Saccharomyces cerevisiae S288C: one gene and its partners. Changing the gene in region 1 together with any one later gene gives a genetic interaction. Each region holds a gene or a part of one and is shown on either strand. Other genes may lie near its edges. The genes, in order: PMP3, QRI7, RKM3 and UBP1.

Evidence for each region.
Region 2: mutations in PMP3 (region 1) and QRI7 together harm fitness more than expected from each alone (negative genetic interaction), as found in Saccharomyces cerevisiae (2 studies listed by BioGRID).
Region 3: mutations in PMP3 (region 1) and RKM3 together harm fitness more than expected from each alone (negative genetic interaction), as found in Saccharomyces cerevisiae (2 studies listed by BioGRID).
Region 4: mutations in PMP3 (region 1) and UBP1 together harm fitness more than expected from each alone (negative genetic interaction), as found in Saccharomyces cerevisiae (2 studies listed by BioGRID).

Annotation. Positions count from the first base shown.
Region 1 is NC_001136.10:1,012,307-1,016,240, forward strand, and holds PMP3 (Pmp3p), read right to left. Parts: upstream 1,338-3,934; coding exon 1,170-1,337; downstream 1-1,169. Other genes in the region: triglyceride-associated lipolysis regulator TLD1, read left to right, coding at 1-653; MTH1 (Mth1p), read right to left, coding at 2,095-3,396. UniProt on the Saccharomyces cerevisiae protein: Plays a role in the regulation of membrane potential. Could mediate a proton leak.
Region 2 is NC_001136.10:273,153-276,449, reverse strand, and holds QRI7 (putative N(6)-L-threonylcarbamoyladenine synthase), read left to right. Parts: upstream 1-1,573; coding exon 1,574-2,797; downstream 2,798-3,297. Other genes in the region: QRI1 (UDP-N-acetylglucosamine diphosphorylase), read left to right, coding at 1-1,302; Smc5-Smc6 complex subunit NSE4, read right to left, coding at 2,853-3,297. UniProt on the Saccharomyces cerevisiae protein: Required for the formation of a threonylcarbamoyl group on adenosine at position 37 (t(6)A37) in mitochondrial tRNAs that read codons beginning with adenine.
Region 3 is NC_001134.8:295,574-301,280, forward strand, and holds RKM3 (protein-lysine N-methyltransferase), read left to right. Parts: upstream 1-2,718; coding exon 2,719-4,377; downstream 4,378-5,707. Other genes in the region: putative protein kinase YPK3, read right to left, coding at 1-429; CDS1 (phosphatidate cytidylyltransferase), read right to left, coding at 796-2,169; 60S ribosomal protein uL4 RPL4A, read left to right, coding at 4,593-5,681. UniProt on the Saccharomyces cerevisiae protein: S-adenosyl-L-methionine-dependent protein-lysine N-methyltransferase that monomethylates 60S ribosomal protein L42 (RPL42A and RPL42B) at 'Lys-40'.
Region 4 is NC_001136.10:240,016-246,381, forward strand, and holds UBP1 (ubiquitin-specific protease UBP1), read left to right. Parts: upstream 1-2,536; coding exon 2,537-4,966; downstream 4,967-6,366. Other genes in the region: YDL124W (aldo-keto reductase superfamily protein), read left to right, coding at 244-1,182; SNA4 (Sna4p), read left to right, coding at 1,403-1,825; EXP1 (Exp1p), read right to left, coding at 5,118-5,567; YFH1 (ferroxidase), read left to right, coding at 5,908-6,366. UniProt on the Saccharomyces cerevisiae protein: Has an ATP-independent isopeptidase activity, cleaving at the C-terminus of the ubiquitin moiety in natural or engineered linear fusion proteins, irrespective of their size or the presence of an N-terminal extension to ubiquitin.

The DNA of each region.
Region 1 (3,934 bases):
ATACCAAGAACTCATCAGGAAAGGAAGAGATCATGTCAAATAGCCGATTAGCACTTGTTATTATCAACCACGCCTTTGATAAGGTACTATCTTTGACGTGGCACTGCGGGATATTATCCGAAATAAGATCAGGACTGATGTTAATGTTTGGCATTTTCCAGTTGATGTGCTCTTTGGGTGTCATCGTATTGCTGTTGCCTATTATCATACTGGACGCGATCGATCTATTCCTCTACATGTGCAGGTTGCTTGATTACGGTTGCAAGTTATTCCACTACAATAGATCATCATTACCGGTGGCAGATGGAAAAGAAAAGACCAGTGGTCCCATAAGCGGAAAGGAGGAAATAGTTATTGATGAGGAGATAATTAATATGCTAAATGAATCCTCAGAATCATTGATCAATCATACTACAGCTGGTCTGGAATATGATATTAGTTCAGGTAGTGTTAACAAAAGTAGGCGTTTGAATTCAACTAGTACAGTTACATTTGTGAAGCAGAATAAACTTGTTAATGAAAGGAGGGAAGACGCCTACTACGAGGAAGAGGATGATGATTTCCTATCAAATCCGAATTATGATAAGATATCATTGATCGAAAAATCATTCACGAGTCGTTTTGAAGTGGCTTGTGAGCAGAAAGCTGCTTAAATTGATAATCAAGGTCAAGGCAACGCAACGCCACTGCTAAGAACACTTATTGCTACAGAAAGGAAACTAAAAATAATTATAAGGCTAGAGAGAAATAAAAACAAAATAAGAGAGATAATATGGGTAAGGGTCTGCCACCCATCTGATAAAAGGCTGTTCTATCTTTTGGAACTCTACAACACAGGTAAACGGATGATACTGGCTATATTTATATAGATAAACAAACTTGCAGGACAGATAGTTAAGCGTCTATATCATGTGTATTTTAAGCGAAGAAAAAAGTACAAAAATGATAAAAGGCAAAAAAGATGAGAAGTTTTTTTTGTGATAAAATTAATTATTAAAAAATACACACGTAGTTAAAATTAACAGCGGGGGAGGAAACCTTAAGAGAAAGAGAAACAAAAAAAAAGAAAGGAAACAAATAAAAATGAGGGTGACCCGAACATGTTGATACCGTTTCCTAATACTGCTTCCTTATTTCATTTGATAGTTACTTTCGTTTATTGAATGAGCTTAATCTTGTAGGACAATGTACAAGGCATATAGCATACCTGGGAACCAAGCCAAAATGGTCAAAATGATATCCACTATACAGTCAGTACCCCACCCACGGGCTAGAAAAACGGCGACTGGTGGTAAGAAAAGGGATAATATAATGTTAATGATCTTGGCAGAATCCATTGTTGTATTGTGCTGTGCTGTTTAGTTCAAAATGTATAATCAATTGTATTATACTGGCGAAAAACAACAACCGATAGTAAATTTTCTTCTTTTTTTCCTTTCCCTCTTCCAAAACAAAAACACTCACTTCCTCTTTTGTATTTATAGAGGCGCCCATCGCAAAATAACCAGGACCCCCTTTTGAGGGCGTGGTTAAAGGGCACCCAGAGCCCACACCCATTGCATCTTCCGCTATTAGGGGACTGCGGAAGTGAGGGGAGCAGTAAATAGTGATCTTTGTAATTTTCTGCAAAATCCCTCTCGCTGTCTCGGGTTTTTCGATTCAGAGGACCTTCCCCCCCCCATGTTCCGAGATCGGTTTTGGTGGTTAGAAGGCCGGAGGAAAGACATTTACCGCTTGCGCGCGGCTTCTTCTGTATGCTGTGCTCAACTACCAAGAGAAGGATTACGCGCACGGATACGTTGGATGTCTGCGATTGGTGATGCTAAGAACTAAAGGTATTTCGTCATCGTATGGTTTGATCTTCGCTACCCTTGACTCTTTACTGCGATAACGGTACCACGTTCCCATAAAATTCTTATTACTAAATCTCTATAAAGCTGCAACAGCTAGTTTGTATATATAAATCATTGGCGCTTCTTCCTCAATTCCTTGGGAATTTGGAGCTCCTCTATTAAAACTGATGTCCATGGGATAGTATTGATACAATCGAAGAGTCTCCAAAAAAACCATCGGGAAGGTTTCTTTTTAGTATCTTCAGGATACTGAATCCGGCTGCCAATCCAATCCTAATCTTTGGTAAACTTGTGCCTGACATTGCGACCATATCGTAGCCTTTTCTTCTTTAGATAAGCTGACTTTGTTTTTTCCCTGTTGATTTGTTGCGGCGCTTGATCTCATCATCAATTCATCAAGGTTATTATTGGGGTTTTTCAACTGAATGTTCTTCAATAAAGCCTTTTTCAGAAGCGATTTTGTTTCTGTGCTGTTTTTCCGCGGTATTATGCTTGGTGGGGGCATGTCCGGTCTTTTTAAGTTGGACTGTTGTAACTTCCATTTCTTATATTCGGAGCATCTTTGTTTGAAATCAAACCTGCATTGTGCCTCTACTGCTATATTTAAGAGGTAATTTTCGATGATATTTCTCCATTCCGGTTTCGACAAATTCATGACGGCTTCATTTCTACCAGTTATATGCTCATGTCTTTTTCTAGCGGTCGCTACTGTATATTTGGCGCTGGTTAGTTTGAATTCATAATCTAAGTTAGCCTCCATGTACAGATCCGAATGGACTAACGTTGCGATTATGGTCTCATCGCTAGAATATAGTGGTAATAATTGTAACCTAAACTGGGGCATATTATCACCCACCGTTATTACTTCCGGTAGTTGATTACCCCATTCGGGCCTTAACTTCTCGACTATCAATAACGATCTTATATCGTTTAAATCCCAATCCAATAACTCTCTCTTGGTAAACTTGGGACGCCCGTTACAGAGAATGTTGGATGGGTCTGCTAATAGAATATCTGGCGAATACATGTCATAAAACGTTTTGGGTAATGCTTCATCCAGGCTCACTCTCGTGATTAACTTGTGGTTAGGAAATTCGGAGAACGAAGAGTCATTAGTTAGTTGCGTGTGCACAGTAGAGGGGGCAGAAAATATACTTGATTGATAAGACGAGGCATTATCCGAAAGTAAACTCCCACTTTCAGCCACGCTTGATCTCCTGCTCGCTGAATGCATACTGCTTGAATGATGTGACCTTCTGCTAGGTGAGGAGGCCAATAATCTTTTTTTAATCTCATCTCTAGCTCTATCAGTGTACTCCGGAGGAGCATTCACAAAGTTCTCTCTTCTCGAAGAAGTCGTGGATTGAGAGCTACTCATTGATAGTGGCAAACTTTGAAAAGAAGCATTATCACTGCCACTCATCGTGTTTTCCGGAATGGCCTGTAGGGAGCTTGCAAACCCATGATTACTGTTAGTCGATTCTAATGGACGTCGTTGTAAAACTTGGTTTTTCGAAGTTGCTGGTGGTGGTGAAACAAACATTCCTTTGAGTGTGTGTACTCTATGCGTTCGAATAAAATTCTCTTTGTATTGCTGCTTGTGGTTTCGCTATTGAGAACTTTCAATATACGTTAAAAAATACTTGGAGTGAAATGAACAAATCTTTTTGTATGTTTCCTTAAGTTATTAAAAAACTCCATGCTGTTTTTTAATAAAAAAAGAAGCAGTTACAGGCGCATTACAAAGTTTGAGAAGAAAGGAAAAATGTCATTTGGTTATATAAATTTTTTTTCTTAATGGAGATTGAGGCAGCAATAAAATGTGGGATGAAAAAAAAAAAAAAAGGCACTTGAATAAGGGGTAGAATGGCAGATATTCCATGTCTACGGTAGTTTCACTGGAGAAATGGACTCGTATTTTCTCTCACGATGAATTTTTCCACAAAATTATAAGATGAGGAAATGTGTGGGGCAGTCATCCTAACAAAACTCGCACGGACTCCATTTCCCCGGACCTTTTTCCCGCTTGTTCTAGGGAATAATTTCGGAATAATTTTAGGGACTTCATAGTATGACTGGGT
Region 2 (3,297 bases), 740 kb from region 1:
GCAAAACTACTGGAAGACTGTCAAAATGCTATTAAATTCTCACTAGCTAACTCTTCTAAGGATACTGGCGTCGAAATTTCACCATTGCCCCCTACTTCGTACGAGTCGCTTATTGGCAACAGTAAGAAAGAAAATGAATACTGGCGTTTAGGCCTTGAAGCTATTGGCAAGGGTGAAGTCGCAGTGATTTTAATGGCTGGCGGACAAGGTACGCGGTTAGGATCCTCTCAACCAAAGGGCTGTTACGACATTGGATTGCCTTCTAAGAAATCTCTTTTTCAAATTCAAGCTGAAAAGTTGATCAGGTTGCAAGATATGGTAAAGGACAAAAAGGTAGAAATTCCTTGGTATATTATGACATCAGGCCCCACTAGAGCGGCTACTGAGGCATACTTTCAAGAACACAATTATTTTGGCTTGAATAAAGAACAAATTACGTTCTTCAACCAGGGAACCCTGCCTGCCTTTGATTTAACCGGGAAGCATTTCCTAATGAAAGACCCAGTAAACCTATCTCAATCACCAGATGGAAATGGTGGACTCTACCGTGCCATCAAGGAAAACAAGTTGAACGAAGACTTTGATAGGAGAGGAATCAAGCATGTTTACATGTACTGTGTCGATAATGTCCTATCTAAAATCGCAGACCCTGTATTTATTGGTTTTGCCATCAAGCATGGCTTCGAACTGGCCACCAAAGCCGTTAGAAAGAGAGATGCGCATGAATCAGTTGGGTTAATTGCTACTAAAAACGAGAAACCATGTGTCATAGAATATTCTGAAATTTCCAATGAATTGGCTGAAGCAAAGGATAAAGATGGCTTATTAAAACTACGCGCAGGCAACATTGTAAATCATTATTACCTAGTGGATTTACTAAAACGTGATTTGGATCAGTGGTGTGAGAATATGCCATATCACATTGCGAAGAAGAAAATTCCAGCTTATGATAGTGTTACCGGCAAGTACACTAAGCCTACCGAACCAAACGGTATAAAATTAGAGCAATTCATATTTGATGTCTTTGACACTGTACCACTGAACAAGTTTGGGTGCTTAGAAGTAGATAGATGCAAAGAATTTTCACCTTTAAAAAACGGTCCTGGTTCTAAGAACGATAATCCTGAGACCAGCAGACTAGCATATTTGAAACTAGGAACCTCGTGGTTGGAAGATGCAGGCGCTATTGTAAAAGATGGGGTACTAGTCGAAGTTTCCAGCAAATTGAGTTATGCAGGTGAAAATCTATCCCAGTTCAAAGGTAAAGTCTTTGACAGAAGTGGTATAGTATTAGAAAAATAACTGTTTGAGCTACTTATGAAGCACTTTTAACATGTAATTGAAAAGTACTCGTAATTGTGATTCAATATATATAATAAAATATTTCGTACTCTGAAAAATAGCTAAATTACTTGTTTTATGTAATTTCTATTTGGCGGATCCGCTCTGCCAATGGAAAGAGTGGCATCTTCATTGCGCGATGATTAATTGACAATGAAATTAAAGCAAACAGCGATTCTCAAGCTCTGAAATAAGTAGAGTAGAAGAAAGGATAGAAACTTTTTTTTTCATTATGATATCAATAAAAGGAACCGGAAGATTTCTCCTCGATAACTATAGAATTTGGCAGAGGCGTGCATTCAACAGACCAATACAGTTAAGAAAAGGCTATAAAGTTTTAGCCATTGAGACTTCTTGCGATGATACATGCGTTTCAGTTTTGGACAGGTTCTCAAAAAGTGCAGCTCCTAATGTGCTAGCCAATTTGAAAGATACTTTAGATAGTATTGACGAAGGAGGTATTATACCAACAAAGGCTCATATCCATCACCAAGCTCGGATAGGACCCTTAACCGAAAGAGCCCTGATAGAAAGCAATGCGAGAGAAGGAATTGATCTCATATGTGTTACAAGAGGCCCTGGTATGCCTGGTTCATTATCAGGAGGATTAGATTTTGCAAAAGGTTTAGCTGTTGCCTGGAACAAACCACTGATTGGTGTGCATCACATGCTGGGACACTTGCTGATACCAAGAATGGGTACAAATGGAAAAGTGCCTCAATTTCCCTTTGTTAGCCTGCTGGTTAGTGGTGGTCATACTACGTTTGTTTTGTCACGAGCAATTGACGATCACGAAATATTATGTGATACTATCGATATTGCAGTGGGTGACTCATTAGATAAATGTGGCAGAGAGCTTGGATTCAAGGGAACAATGATCGCTAGAGAAATGGAGAAATTTATTAATCAAGATATTAACGACCAAGATTTTGCTTTAAAACTAGAAATGCCCAGTCCGTTAAAAAACAGCGCTAGTAAAAGAAACATGCTTTCGTTTTCGTTTTCAGCATTTATCACAGCATTAAGAACTAATTTGACAAAACTAGGTAAAACAGAAATCCAGGAACTGCCAGAACGCGAAATACGGTCAATTGCATATCAAGTACAGGAATCTGTTTTCGACCATATAATAAATAAACTGAAGCACGTGCTCAAGTCACAACCGGAAAAGTTTAAAAACGTGCGTGAATTTGTATGTTCTGGTGGAGTGAGTAGTAATCAAAGGTTGAGAACAAAATTAGAAACGGAATTGGGGACGTTGAACTCCACAAGCTTTTTTAATTTTTATTATCCTCCTATGGACCTTTGTAGTGACAACTCTATTATGATCGGCTGGGCAGGTATCGAGATATGGGAAAGCTTACGATTAGTTAGTGATTTAGATATATGTCCAATTAGGCAATGGCCATTGAATGACCTATTAAGTGTTGATGGTTGGAGAACGGACCAGCTATGAAAAAAAAAAAAAAAAAAAAAAAACTGTACATATTATATGCAGCGCTCTATCGCTGTTAGTCTAAGAATGGTGAAGTGATGTTGTATTTCTTTATTAGTTTTCGCCAAGTAGGCATGTCCATTTGAAAAATAATGTGATTCTGATGAGCGGCACGACGCCTTTGTCTCTCAATTTCTTTACTTCTTGAATCTGTGTGACTTATGCTTTGTTTTATCTTAATTGTGGGTAAACCTTCTTCATCGTGTTCCATCAATAGTTTTCCCTCTTTGATCAAAAAACTGGTATAGAAAAGATTTTCGATGGATCGCGAGAATGAATTTGGGTCTATAATAAATTTAAAAAGATTAATGGAACCTTCTGGGCCTAATTTTTTTGAAAGCTTTTTGAAACATTTCTTGACCTGTTCAGGGGTAGTTTCTTGCTGTGTGGAGTTTAAAGAATGCTGAGTGATTTTCTCAGCGGTGATCTTTTCACCAACTTGGTCATTATTCCTTCTTCGT
Region 3 (5,707 bases), on another chromosome or scaffold:
AAGAACTTTACCGTAGGCACCTTGGCCTAGGACTCTCACGGGCTTAAAATCGTGCAGGTTCCTTGATAATTCATTTTCTCCAATATTAGAGGAAATAATGTCCTGAGGTGTTATGGATAGTCTATTCGTATTAGTTCGCATTGCGTCCGAACCTGTAATAGAAAATCTTCTCGTATTTGGTGGAGTGAGAATAGGGAATTTGGAATAAGCTGAGGACCTTCTTCTCATCCTATGTGCAGGACTCATGCCATTTAGCGGAATCGCATTTGAATGAACCGAGAGGTGATTTATACTCTCCTCATATGTGATGGAGCTGCCTTGTTCATGATTGATATCATTGTATATTGCCGAGGAATAATCTACTTTAATGTCATTCTTTTTATCATCTAGTGACACACGATGAAGTTCTTCATCTAGTGAGAAAATCATCCTAATTACTGCCAACAGTATGCTCAGCTAGATTGGTTGATGAAAAATCTTATCATAGGGCACCTTCCAGGTAAAAGATCTACTTACTATTAGTCAGTACGTCCTTTTTTCATTTGTTTATAATTTTTTTTTTTTTTTTTTTTTTCTCCTCTCAATATTTTAGAAGTAACATGACAGAGCAACACGTTTATTTTCCTACATATAGTCATAAGTATAAAAACGAGCGAGAAATTTTGTTAAAGAATTGATATCATATTTTATAATTTACATAAACTAAATAGGGAAAGAGTAGTATAGCGTGCATAAGTTTGAAAAAAAAAAACTATTCATACACTCATATATACTTTTATATGGTCTTTTTTATATTCAAGAGTGATTGGTCAATGATTTCTTGGTCACATTAAAGATGTCAGCCAACTTTTCAAAATTCTTCGCTGATATTATACCTTTTTTAGATAGGAATCTAATCAAGATATCAATCAATTCTATAATCTGCTTGTCGTTCAGGTTCATTAAAATAGTGGATAAAACTGTATCTACTGTTATTCTGTGTTCGCTGATGAATGTTTCATAGTACAAATTGGCAAAAGAACCCATTATGAATTGGCAATCAACCCTGTCTGTGATACCACCATGGCCTGGGATGGAGTGGCCAAAGTCTTTAACTTTAAAAGTTCTCTTTAGACCAGATGCGAAAAAGCCTCCAAATGGCGCAAATAATGATGCAAAGGTAGCTAAGTTTAAAGCATGGAAATAAATTGGTTTTACTGTAATTGAATTGATTTGAACTTTATCGAAAAAGATGGGTGGAAGTCTGTAAACTTGTGGAAGGAAAACTGGGTTTAGTTCACATGTCAAATTAGAGAAAAAATTGGTATGGAGATCTTCAACAGGGCACGTCAAGTAAGTATAAGGGCTCAGAATCCTTGTTAATATAATACTAGCTAGAGCAGTGAAAAACCAGGCACCAAGGAAACCTTCTAAAGTTTTCTTGGGCGAGATTTCTATTAGTTTAGTCTTACCGAATGTAATGCCGCACAGGTAGGCGAAGATATCATTAACAATTACCAACCCGCATGGTAATAAGAACCAGAATAGCCCATTGAGCACGTTTTTGATGATCAAATGAGCCTGAAATACTACCAGAAGAAGAACCATATGAGTAACGCACAATGATCCGAACTGGAATTTCAAAAATCCCTTTCTTAAACTACAAACGAACAGAACAAATCCCATAAGATAGAGACAATAGCAGATAAACTTATGATTTGTTACGATAAAGTTCAATACAGGATACTCGTAAAAAGTAGCTTGGAAAAACTTGAAGAGTGATTTCCCATCTAAGTAATAGATAGTGGTGAAGAGAAGGTACCAGTTCAACGTCTTTGTCAATGGCAAATTCTTTTCGCGACCAGATGCACTTGTTACGGCAATACACTCTTTAAAAGTAGCAATTTGGCAGCCCAAAATCAGCACTATACACCATGCATGACCCGATGCTAAGGTGATGAAGAAACCACTGATCATAACAAACGTCCAAACTGTTCTAATGAAAAAGTTGTATTTCCTGCTTTCCTTTGTAGCAGCAGTGCTTTCCTTGGTCACCGGCGTGACGGATTCGCTGGCGTCCTTGTGGAGTTCTTCTTGCAATTTATCAATCGCCTTTGAGGTGGCGTCAGTAACCGACTCCACAATCTCCTTGCTCGTACCATGTGGTTTCATCTCAGGGTTGTCAGACATTTTAGGTATATGGAAGTGGAACAGTTAAGTATGACAGGTTCGCTGTTTGGGAAGATACTTGGCAAGAAGTGCGTCTTCACAATCTGGCTTACACTAAATAACAATATTGATGAATGCTCCCCCATGCTGTTTACAGTTCTCGATTGTTACACTTTTCACATGTCATCCCATCTGAAAAATTTTCAAGAAGGGTATCCGTTGATAATGACTGTCAAATACATAGCGATATAGTACCAATATACAGTGCCTGAAAACGCCTGGAATAAGCCAAAGCGATCAAGGTGGAGCTCCTGCAGATTGGTTTAGAAAGTAGTGTATTGATAGTTATTTACATGGGCGTTTGTTTATGATTCTTTGTGCCTAATATATCCACGTTCTCCGTTGAATTCTGAGATGTACTGCATCAAAATAGCGAAAAACGAGCAATAAATATCAGAAAATCAAATGAAGTATACTCGATGAAGGCAGCTGAGATGAGGTGGCAGATACAATAAGAAAGATTTGTTGCCATATATAATAGCAATTAAAAAATAAATTTGAAAGAGTGAGATGTCCGTAACTTTTAAGGACGATGTTCATCGGATTCTGAAGTTTGTTGCTAATTGCAATGGCAGGTTTGAAGATTCCAAATGTGATATAAGAGAATCGCCTCTCGGTGGATTGGGTGTCTTTGCAAAGACTGATATTGCAGAAGGTGAGTCAATATTGACGTTGAACAAATCCTCGATTTTTTCTGCATCTAACAGCTCCATTGCCAATTTGTTATGTGACAGTAGCATCGATGGAATGTTAGCTCTAAACATCGCATTCATTTACGAAACTACAGTTTTCAGAAATTCTAGTCATTGGTACCCATTTCTGCGAACTATCCGAATTCGTGATGACGAAGGGCACTTAAACCTGCCGCCAAGCTTTTGGCATGCGGATGCTAAGCGACTTTTAAAAGGAACCAGTTTCGATACCTTATTCGATTCGTTGGCACCAGAAGAAGAAATCATGGAAGGATTTGAAATTGCTGTGGATTTGGCACACAAATGGAACGACGAGTTTGGGTTGGAAATTCCAAAAGGCTTCCTAGACGTTAGTGAGGAGAATCATGAAGAAGATTACAATTTGAAATTAGAAAAGTTTATATCGGTGGCATATACTTTATCATCAAGAGGATTTGAAATTGACGCGTACCATGAGACAGCTTTGGTGCCCATCGCAGACCTGTTCAATCATCATGTTTCCGACCCGGATTTAAAGTTTGTATCGCTATATGATGTGTGCGATAAATGTGGTGAACCAGACATGTGTAAACATCTCATAGCAGAGGAATACTTGGAAGCAGAAAATCTAGACAAAAATATGCCCAAAGTCGCAAGTATGGAGACTCGTGTCATCGATGAAGACTTAATCAAAAGTTTAGAAAATGATTTAGAGAAAGAATACTCTAATGTTACGGCAAACATCGAGGATGATGATGGCGGTATTGAAAACCCTGACGAATGTGTCGATTTAGTGTTAAAGAATGACGTCGCACAAGGCCAAGAAATATTTAATTCCTATGGTGAGCTCTCAAACGTCTTTTTGTTGGCCAGATATGGTTTCACCGTACCTGAGAATCAGTATGATATTGTTCATTTAGGACCTGATTTTATGAAAATCTTAAAGAAAGAAGAAAAATATCAAGAAAAAGTCAAGTGGTGGAGCCAAGTCGGTCATGGCTTGTTTTCAGCATGGTATGCTCAAATGCGCCAAGAAGATGAAGAAGACGAAGACGGTCAAGCAAAATCAGACAATCTGTCTGACGATATAGAGAGCGAAGAGGAAGAGGAAGAGGAAGAGGGTGATGATAGCTTGGAATCATGGCTTTCCCAGCTTTACATAGACTCAAGTGGCGAGCCTTCACCCTCAACGTGGGCCTTAGCTAACCTTTTGACTTTAACGGCCGTTCAATGGGAATCATTGTTTTCCAAAAAGGCCACTCCTCACATCAGTGATTCTATAGTTAACGAAGAAAAGCTGCCCTTCCTGGCCAAAAAAGACAATCCCCATTCCAAGAAACTGCTTTCCAACTTACTTAAGGAAAAGCAACTACCTTGCATAAAAGGCGACAACTCGTCAAAGATAACAAGTGCTACTAAAAGCATGCTCCAAAATGCTCGAACACTTGTACAATCGGAGCATAATATCTTAGATAGATGTCTCAAGAGACTATCCTAAATAATATTGAATATGCACTTTTACTATATTAATATCACGTCACACGACGCACAGTGAGAAGTGAAAAATTTTTTTTCAATCTGAAAAAAAAAAAAAAAAAAAAAAAAAATTTATATAAACGAATGGTATCTCCATCACATTTCTTTTAGCCTCGCAACTTGTACTTTTCATCACTTTTCTTGTAATTTAGCAATATCCCAAGAACAATCATCGAAATGTCCCGTCCACAAGTTACTGTTCACTCTTTGACTGGTGAAGCTACTGCCAATGCCTTGCCATTGCCAGCTGTCTTCTCCGCTCCTATCCGTCCAGACATTGTCCACACTGTTTTCACCTCTGTGAACAAGAACAAGAGACAAGCTTACGCTGTTTCTGAAAAGGCTGGTCACCAAACCTCCGCTGAATCCTGGGGTACCGGTCGTGCCGTCGCTCGTATTCCAAGAGTTGGTGGTGGTGGTACCGGTAGATCCGGTCAAGGTGCCTTCGGTAACATGTGTCGTGGTGGTCGTATGTTTGCTCCAACTAAGACCTGGAGAAAGTGGAACGTTAAGGTTAACCACAACGAAAAGCGTTACGCCACTGCTTCTGCTATTGCTGCTACTGCTGTTGCCTCTTTGGTCTTGGCCAGAGGTCACAGAGTCGAAAAGATTCCAGAAATCCCATTGGTTGTCTCCACTGACTTGGAATCTATTCAAAAGACCAAGGAAGCTGTTGCTGCTTTGAAGGCTGTTGGTGCTCACTCCGACTTGTTGAAGGTCTTGAAGTCCAAGAAATTGAGAGCCGGTAAGGGTAAGTACAGAAACAGAAGATGGACTCAAAGAAGAGGTCCATTAGTTGTCTACGCTGAAGACAACGGTATCGTCAAGGCCTTGAGAAACGTTCCAGGTGTTGAAACTGCCAACGTTGCTTCTTTGAACTTGTTGCAATTGGCTCCAGGTGCTCACTTGGGTAGATTCGTTATCTGGACCGAAGCTGCTTTCACCAAGTTGGACCAAGTCTGGGGTTCCGAAACCGTTGCCTCCTCCAAGGTCGGCTACACTTTGCCATCCCATATCATCTCCACTTCTGATGTCACCAGAATTATCAACTCTTCCGAAATCCAATCTGCTATCAGACCAGCTGGCCAAGCTACTCAAAAGCGTACTCACGTTTTGAAGAAGAACCCATTGAAGAACAAGCAAGTCTTGTTGAGATTGAACCCTTACGCCAAGGTCTTTGCTGCTGAAAAGCTAGGTTCCAAGAAGGCTGAAAAGACTGGTACCAAGCCAGCTGCTGTTTTCACCGAAACTTTGAAACACGATTAAACTTATTAGTACATTAAAAATATTCT
Region 4 (6,366 bases), 770 kb from region 1:
AACGAAAGCGCGGAGAATTAACCGGAAAAAGGAAGTTGCCACACTCCCCTTACTAATCCACACCTAGGATCTCCTTTACTCGTATTTTGAATATCTACGAAAACACTCACATACGCTCATCCCATATATATATATATATATATACGGATATATTGATAGTCGGATACTACGTGGATATGGATACACATGTAAACGGTTGTGTTACCCTAAAGAAACGGAGGTCAGTTAACAACACTTTTACAGATGTCATTTCACCAACAGTTCTTTACCTTGAATAATGGAAATAAAATCCCCGCAATCGCCATCATTGGGACAGGTACTAGATGGTATAAAAACGAAGAAACGGATGCTACCTTTTCGAACAGTTTGGTCGAACAGATTGTTTATGCTCTGAAGTTACCTGGCATTATTCACATTGATGCTGCTGAGATCTACAGAACATATCCAGAAGTTGGGAAGGCACTTAGCCTCACCGAAAAACCAAGAAATGCAATATTCTTGACAGACAAGTACTCACCTCAAATCAAGATGTCAGATTCCCCAGCGGATGGACTAGATTTAGCTTTGAAGAAGATGGGCACTGACTATGTCGATCTATACCTTTTGCATAGCCCATTTGTTTCCAAAGAGGTCAACGGGTTAAGTTTGGAGGAAGCCTGGAAGGACATGGAGCAATTGTACAAATCAGGTAAAGCTAAAAATATCGGTGTTTCCAACTTTGCTGTGGAAGACTTGCAAAGAATTCTGAAAGTTGCGGAAGTCAAGCCCCAAGTTAATCAAATTGAGTTCAGTCCCTTCTTGCAGAATCAAACACCAGGGATCTACAAATTTTGCCAAGAACATGATATATTGGTAGAAGCATACTCGCCACTAGGTCCCTTACAAAAGAAAACAGCACAAGATGACTCTCAACCGTTTTTCGAATACGTGAAAGAGTTATCCGAGAAATATATCAAATCTGAAGCCCAAATTATCCTACGTTGGGTGACCAAACGTGGCGTGTTGCCTGTAACCACCTCTTCCAAACCTCAAAGAATTTCTGACGCGCAAAATTTATTCTCTTTCGACTTGACGGCTGAGGAAGTCGATAAGATAACGGAGTTGGGCTTGGAACATGAACCGCTAAGATTGTATTGGAATAAATTGTACGGTAAATACAACTACGCTGCTCAAAAAGTATAAATACCGGATAATTTATGTACGAGTCATATTTGTTTTGTATAACTTTATTAATCGACTTTTTTTGTCAGGTTTATCACCCCGTTACCCATCCCGCCACTTTTCAGCATCGAGGAAGAAAAAAGGGCTGTACATTATATAAAAGGCCATCAAAAAATACCGGAAGAGGGCATCTCCCCAATAAAGGTGCCACACTGAGCAGAGACAGATAGGGACGCGCATCATGTGTTGCTACTGTGTTTGTTGTACCGTTTCTGACTTTATACTGTATATTGTTGCGTTTTTTTTCCCCCCAGCTGCAGTCCTTCTTCGATCTGGGCCTTGTTCATCTGATTTCCTCCTGAATGTATTGCTAACGCTACTGGGATTTTTGCCCGGTATGTTACACGCATTCTACTACATCACAATTACAAGTCCTTTAAGGAACGCTGAATACGTCTATTATTACCAGCAAGGCTGGGTGGATAGCGAAAGAAACGTTCCTTCGAATCGTCCTCAAAACTCGCAGACCCCCCAAAACCGCCCACAACAAGGAAGCTCCGCTAGAAACGTATACCCGAGCGTTGAAACTCCTCTGTTACAAGGCGCAGCTCCCCATGACAACAAACAGTCTCTGGTTGAGTCTCCTCCTCCTTATGTGCCATGATGAAGCTACAGCAAGGAAAATGAAAATTCCAGCAAGCAAGCAAGCGAAGACCGTTCTTCTCTTTCCTATGATCTTCCTTAGCAAAGAGGTTTGCCAGTCAAAGTAAAAGAGCTGCCATTAAGAAATGTATTTCATTTTGACAGCTTCTTCGATCAATACCGCCAGCTCCCTCGAGCCTATAACTATTTTGCGGATCTGTAAGCCGTAATGTTTTTCCCATAAACGTCACTGAATGTCCATATATCATACTACCAGTAAGCGCCTGTTGGAAACCTTCCTACCTTCATACGTGTATTCTGCTATATCCCTTCTTTTCCTCTTTACGTACAGAATGACATCTATGTAGGCAAGTTTCTTTTTCCATCATTGGAAAACGAAAATACATTTTTCACTAGCACCACAAAATTTTCAAGATGGCCAGGCTAGTTAAATCTATTATACAATAATTATTGGTTATATATTTAAAAAACAGAAACATTTTTTGCTTTAAAAGCACGCCATAGTATTGCTTTTAATATTGTGATCTGCGTCCTTTTTTTTCTCAGGAAAAAAAAATTTTATACACATTCAAAGAATAGAAGCGATTGTCAAAATTCGCTTCTCCTTTCTTTTCCATTATAACGTCTGATCATTTTACGTCTTCAGTGCCCTCCCTTGTTCGAAACTAGATACTTTCGAACACTTCTCCCCTTTTAATCTACAAAATTTTGTATGGATTTGTTTATTGAAAGCAAGATAAACAGTTTATTACAATTTTTATTTGGTTCCCGACAGGATTTTTTGAGAAATTTTAAAACTTGGAGTAACAACAATAACAATCTATCGATTTATTTATTAATTTTTGGCATAGTAGTATTTTTTTATAAAAAACCAGACCATCTAAACTACATTGTTGAGAGCGTTAGTGAAATGACAACAAACTTCAGAAATAATAATAGCCTTAGCCGTTGGTTGCCCAGAAGTAAGTTTACCCACTTAGACGAAGAGATCTTGAAAAGAGGTGGTTTCATTGCTGGTTTAGTTAATGATGGTAACACTTGTTTTATGAACTCTGTTTTGCAATCATTGGCATCATCCAGAGAATTAATGGAGTTCTTGGACAATAATGTCATAAGGACCTATGAGGAGATAGAACAAAATGAACACAATGAAGAAGGAAACGGGCAAGAATCTGCTCAAGATGAAGCCACTCATAAGAAAAACACTCGTAAGGGTGGCAAAGTTTATGGTAAGCATAAGAAGAAATTGAATAGGAAGTCAAGTTCGAAAGAAGACGAAGAAAAGAGCCAGGAGCCAGATATCACTTTCAGTGTCGCCTTAAGGGATCTACTTTCTGCCTTAAATGCGAAGTATTATCGGGATAAACCCTATTTCAAAACCAATAGTTTATTGAAAGCAATGTCCAAATCTCCAAGAAAAAATATTCTTCTTGGCTACGACCAAGAGGACGCGCAAGAATTCTTCCAGAACATACTAGCCGAGTTGGAAAGTAACGTTAAATCATTGAATACTGAAAAACTAGATACCACTCCAGTTGCGAAATCAGAATTACCCGATGATGCTTTAGTAGGTCAACTTAACCTTGGTGAAGTTGGCACTGTTTACATTCCAACTGAACAGATTGATCCTAACTCTATACTACATGACAAGTCCATTCAAAATTTCACACCTTTCAAACTAATGACTCCTTTAGATGGTATCACGGCAGAAAGAATTGGTTGTTTACAGTGTGGTGAGAACGGTGGCATAAGATATTCCGTATTTTCGGGATTAAGCTTAAATTTACCGAACGAGAATATTGGTTCCACTTTAAAATTATCTCAGTTATTAAGCGACTGGAGTAAACCTGAAATCATCGAAGGCGTAGAATGTAACCGTTGTGCCCTCACAGCAGCGCACTCTCATTTATTTGGTCAGTTGAAAGAATTTGAAAAAAAACCTGAGGGTTCGATCCCAGAAAAGTTAATTAACGCTGTAAAAGATAGGGTCCATCAAATCGAAGAAGTTCTTGCCAAACCAGTTATTGACGATGAAGATTATAAGAAGTTGCATACAGCAAATATGGTACGTAAATGCTCTAAATCTAAGCAGATTTTAATATCAAGACCTCCACCATTATTATCCATTCATATCAACAGATCCGTATTTGATCCAAGAACGTACATGATTAGAAAAAATAACTCGAAAGTATTGTTTAAGTCAAGGTTGAATCTTGCCCCATGGTGTTGTGATATTAATGAAATCAATTTGGATGCTCGTTTGCCAATGTCAAAAAAGGAAAAAGCTGCGCAACAAGATTCAAGTGAAGATGAAAACATTGGCGGTGAATACTATACGAAATTACATGAACGCTTCGAGCAGGAATTTGAAGACAGCGAGGAAGAAAAAGAATACGATGACGCAGAGGGGAACTATGCGTCTCATTACAATCATACCAAGGATATCAGTAACTATGATCCCCTAAACGGTGAAGTCGATGGCGTGACATCCGATGATGAAGATGAGTACATTGAAGAAACCGATGCTTTAGGGAATACAATCAAAAAAAGGATCATAGAACATTCTGATGTTGAAAACGAGAATGTAAAAGATAATGAAGAACTGCAAGAAATCGACAATGTGAGCCTTGACGAACCAAAGATCAATGTTGAAGATCAACTAGAAACATCATCTGATGAGGAAGATGTTATACCAGCTCCACCTATCAATTATGCTAGGTCATTTTCCACAGTTCCAGCCACTCCATTGACATATTCATTGCGCTCTGTCATTGTTCACTACGGTACCCATAATTATGGTCATTACATTGCATTTAGAAAATACAGGGGTTGTTGGTGGAGAATATCTGATGAGACTGTGTACGTTGTGGACGAAGCTGAAGTCCTTTCAACACCCGGTGTATTTATGTTATTTTACGAATATGACTTTGATGAAGAAACTGGGAAGATGAAGGATGATTTGGAAGCTATTCAGAGTAATAATGAAGAAGATGATGAAAAAGAGCAGGAGCAAAAAGGAGTCCAGGAGCCAAAGGAAAGCCAAGAGCAAGGAGAAGGTGAAGAGCAAGAGGAAGGTCAAGAGCAGATGAAGTTCGAGAGAACAGAAGACCATAGAGATATTTCTGGTAAAGATGTAAACTAAGTTATAAATACGATATCCGTAATTGTGTAAATAACAATAACTATAATTAAATTGAATAATTAAAAGTCTACGTTATTCGTTAAATCAATTGTTTAGCTAGTTACGAATGTCTAAAGTTTTTGTAGGACAATTGCAAAAATCACTTCCATTATTATACAAATCCTTCGTAAGCTTCATTTTTCTTACCATTGTACTTCTTCAACTTTTTCTCTTCTTCTCTCCGTTCATCTAGTTCATCTTCGTTAATTAGGTCATCAATATCGAAATCGAAATCATTTGGATCTTTGTTGTACTGTCCAATTACACGTCTTTTAAGGCCTGTCTTTGAGTCTATTTCAAATTTTCTGGAAGCGGAAGAGGCACTTGCACTGTCATGGCCAAGGCTTTCCTCCGTGTCCTTCAGATCAAACTTTAATACATTGGTATGATCAAGTTTTTTTTTCAAATATTCCCTCTTACCAAGCTTACCAGTCGCTGACTGTGCTGTTGCAGACGATTTCGGTTTTGTTAGTTTGAATGTACCGATGCCAGAAAACAATGGCAACAATGCAATGAAAGCAATCACAATAATGAGAAGTAAAAAATAACCGTATAGATTCATGCTCCGGACTTATTGACTTAGGCACCGAGAACTTTAAGGGAATTCGTCCTTTTCTTTTACTAAACGTAGATCATGGGTGCTTGATTTAGAGATACAACTCATCGCACTTGACAAATTTCAAAAAACCGTATTCAGTGATCATATTTGAAAAGTCACGTTTCTTACAATGTCCACATAGCCCTATAGGATATGAGGGATTAGTAACCGTAAATGATCTCTTTGAATCGCATTTTTAATTGAAAGCAACCTCGCTTGAAGACACTTACAAATCGTTACGTACTACTGAATACCAGAAAGATAGTATTTCAAAAAAAACTAAGCGAGAAGATAGAGTGTAGCAATGATTAAGCGGTCTCTCGCAAGTTTAGTTCGAGTCAGCTCTGTAATGGGCAGAAGATATATGATAGCAGCGGCAGGAGGAGAACGTGCCAGATTTTGTCCAGCTGTAACAAATAAAAAGAATCATACTGTAAATACTTTTCAGAAGAGATTTGTAGAATCCTCGACAGATGGTCAAGTTGTGCCTCAAGAAGTGTTAAACTTACCGCTTGAAAAATACCATGAAGAGGCAGATGACTACCTAGACCATTTACTAGATAGCTTAGAAGAACTGAGTGAGGCTCATCCGGATTGTATACCTGATGTAGAGCTAAGCCATGGCGTAATGACATTGGAAATTCCAGCTTTTGGAACGTATGTAATAAACAAACAGCCTCCAAATAAGCAAATTTGGTTGGCATCACCATTGTCCGGGCCTAACAGATTTGACCTTCTCAATGGGGAGTGGGTTTCGTTAAGA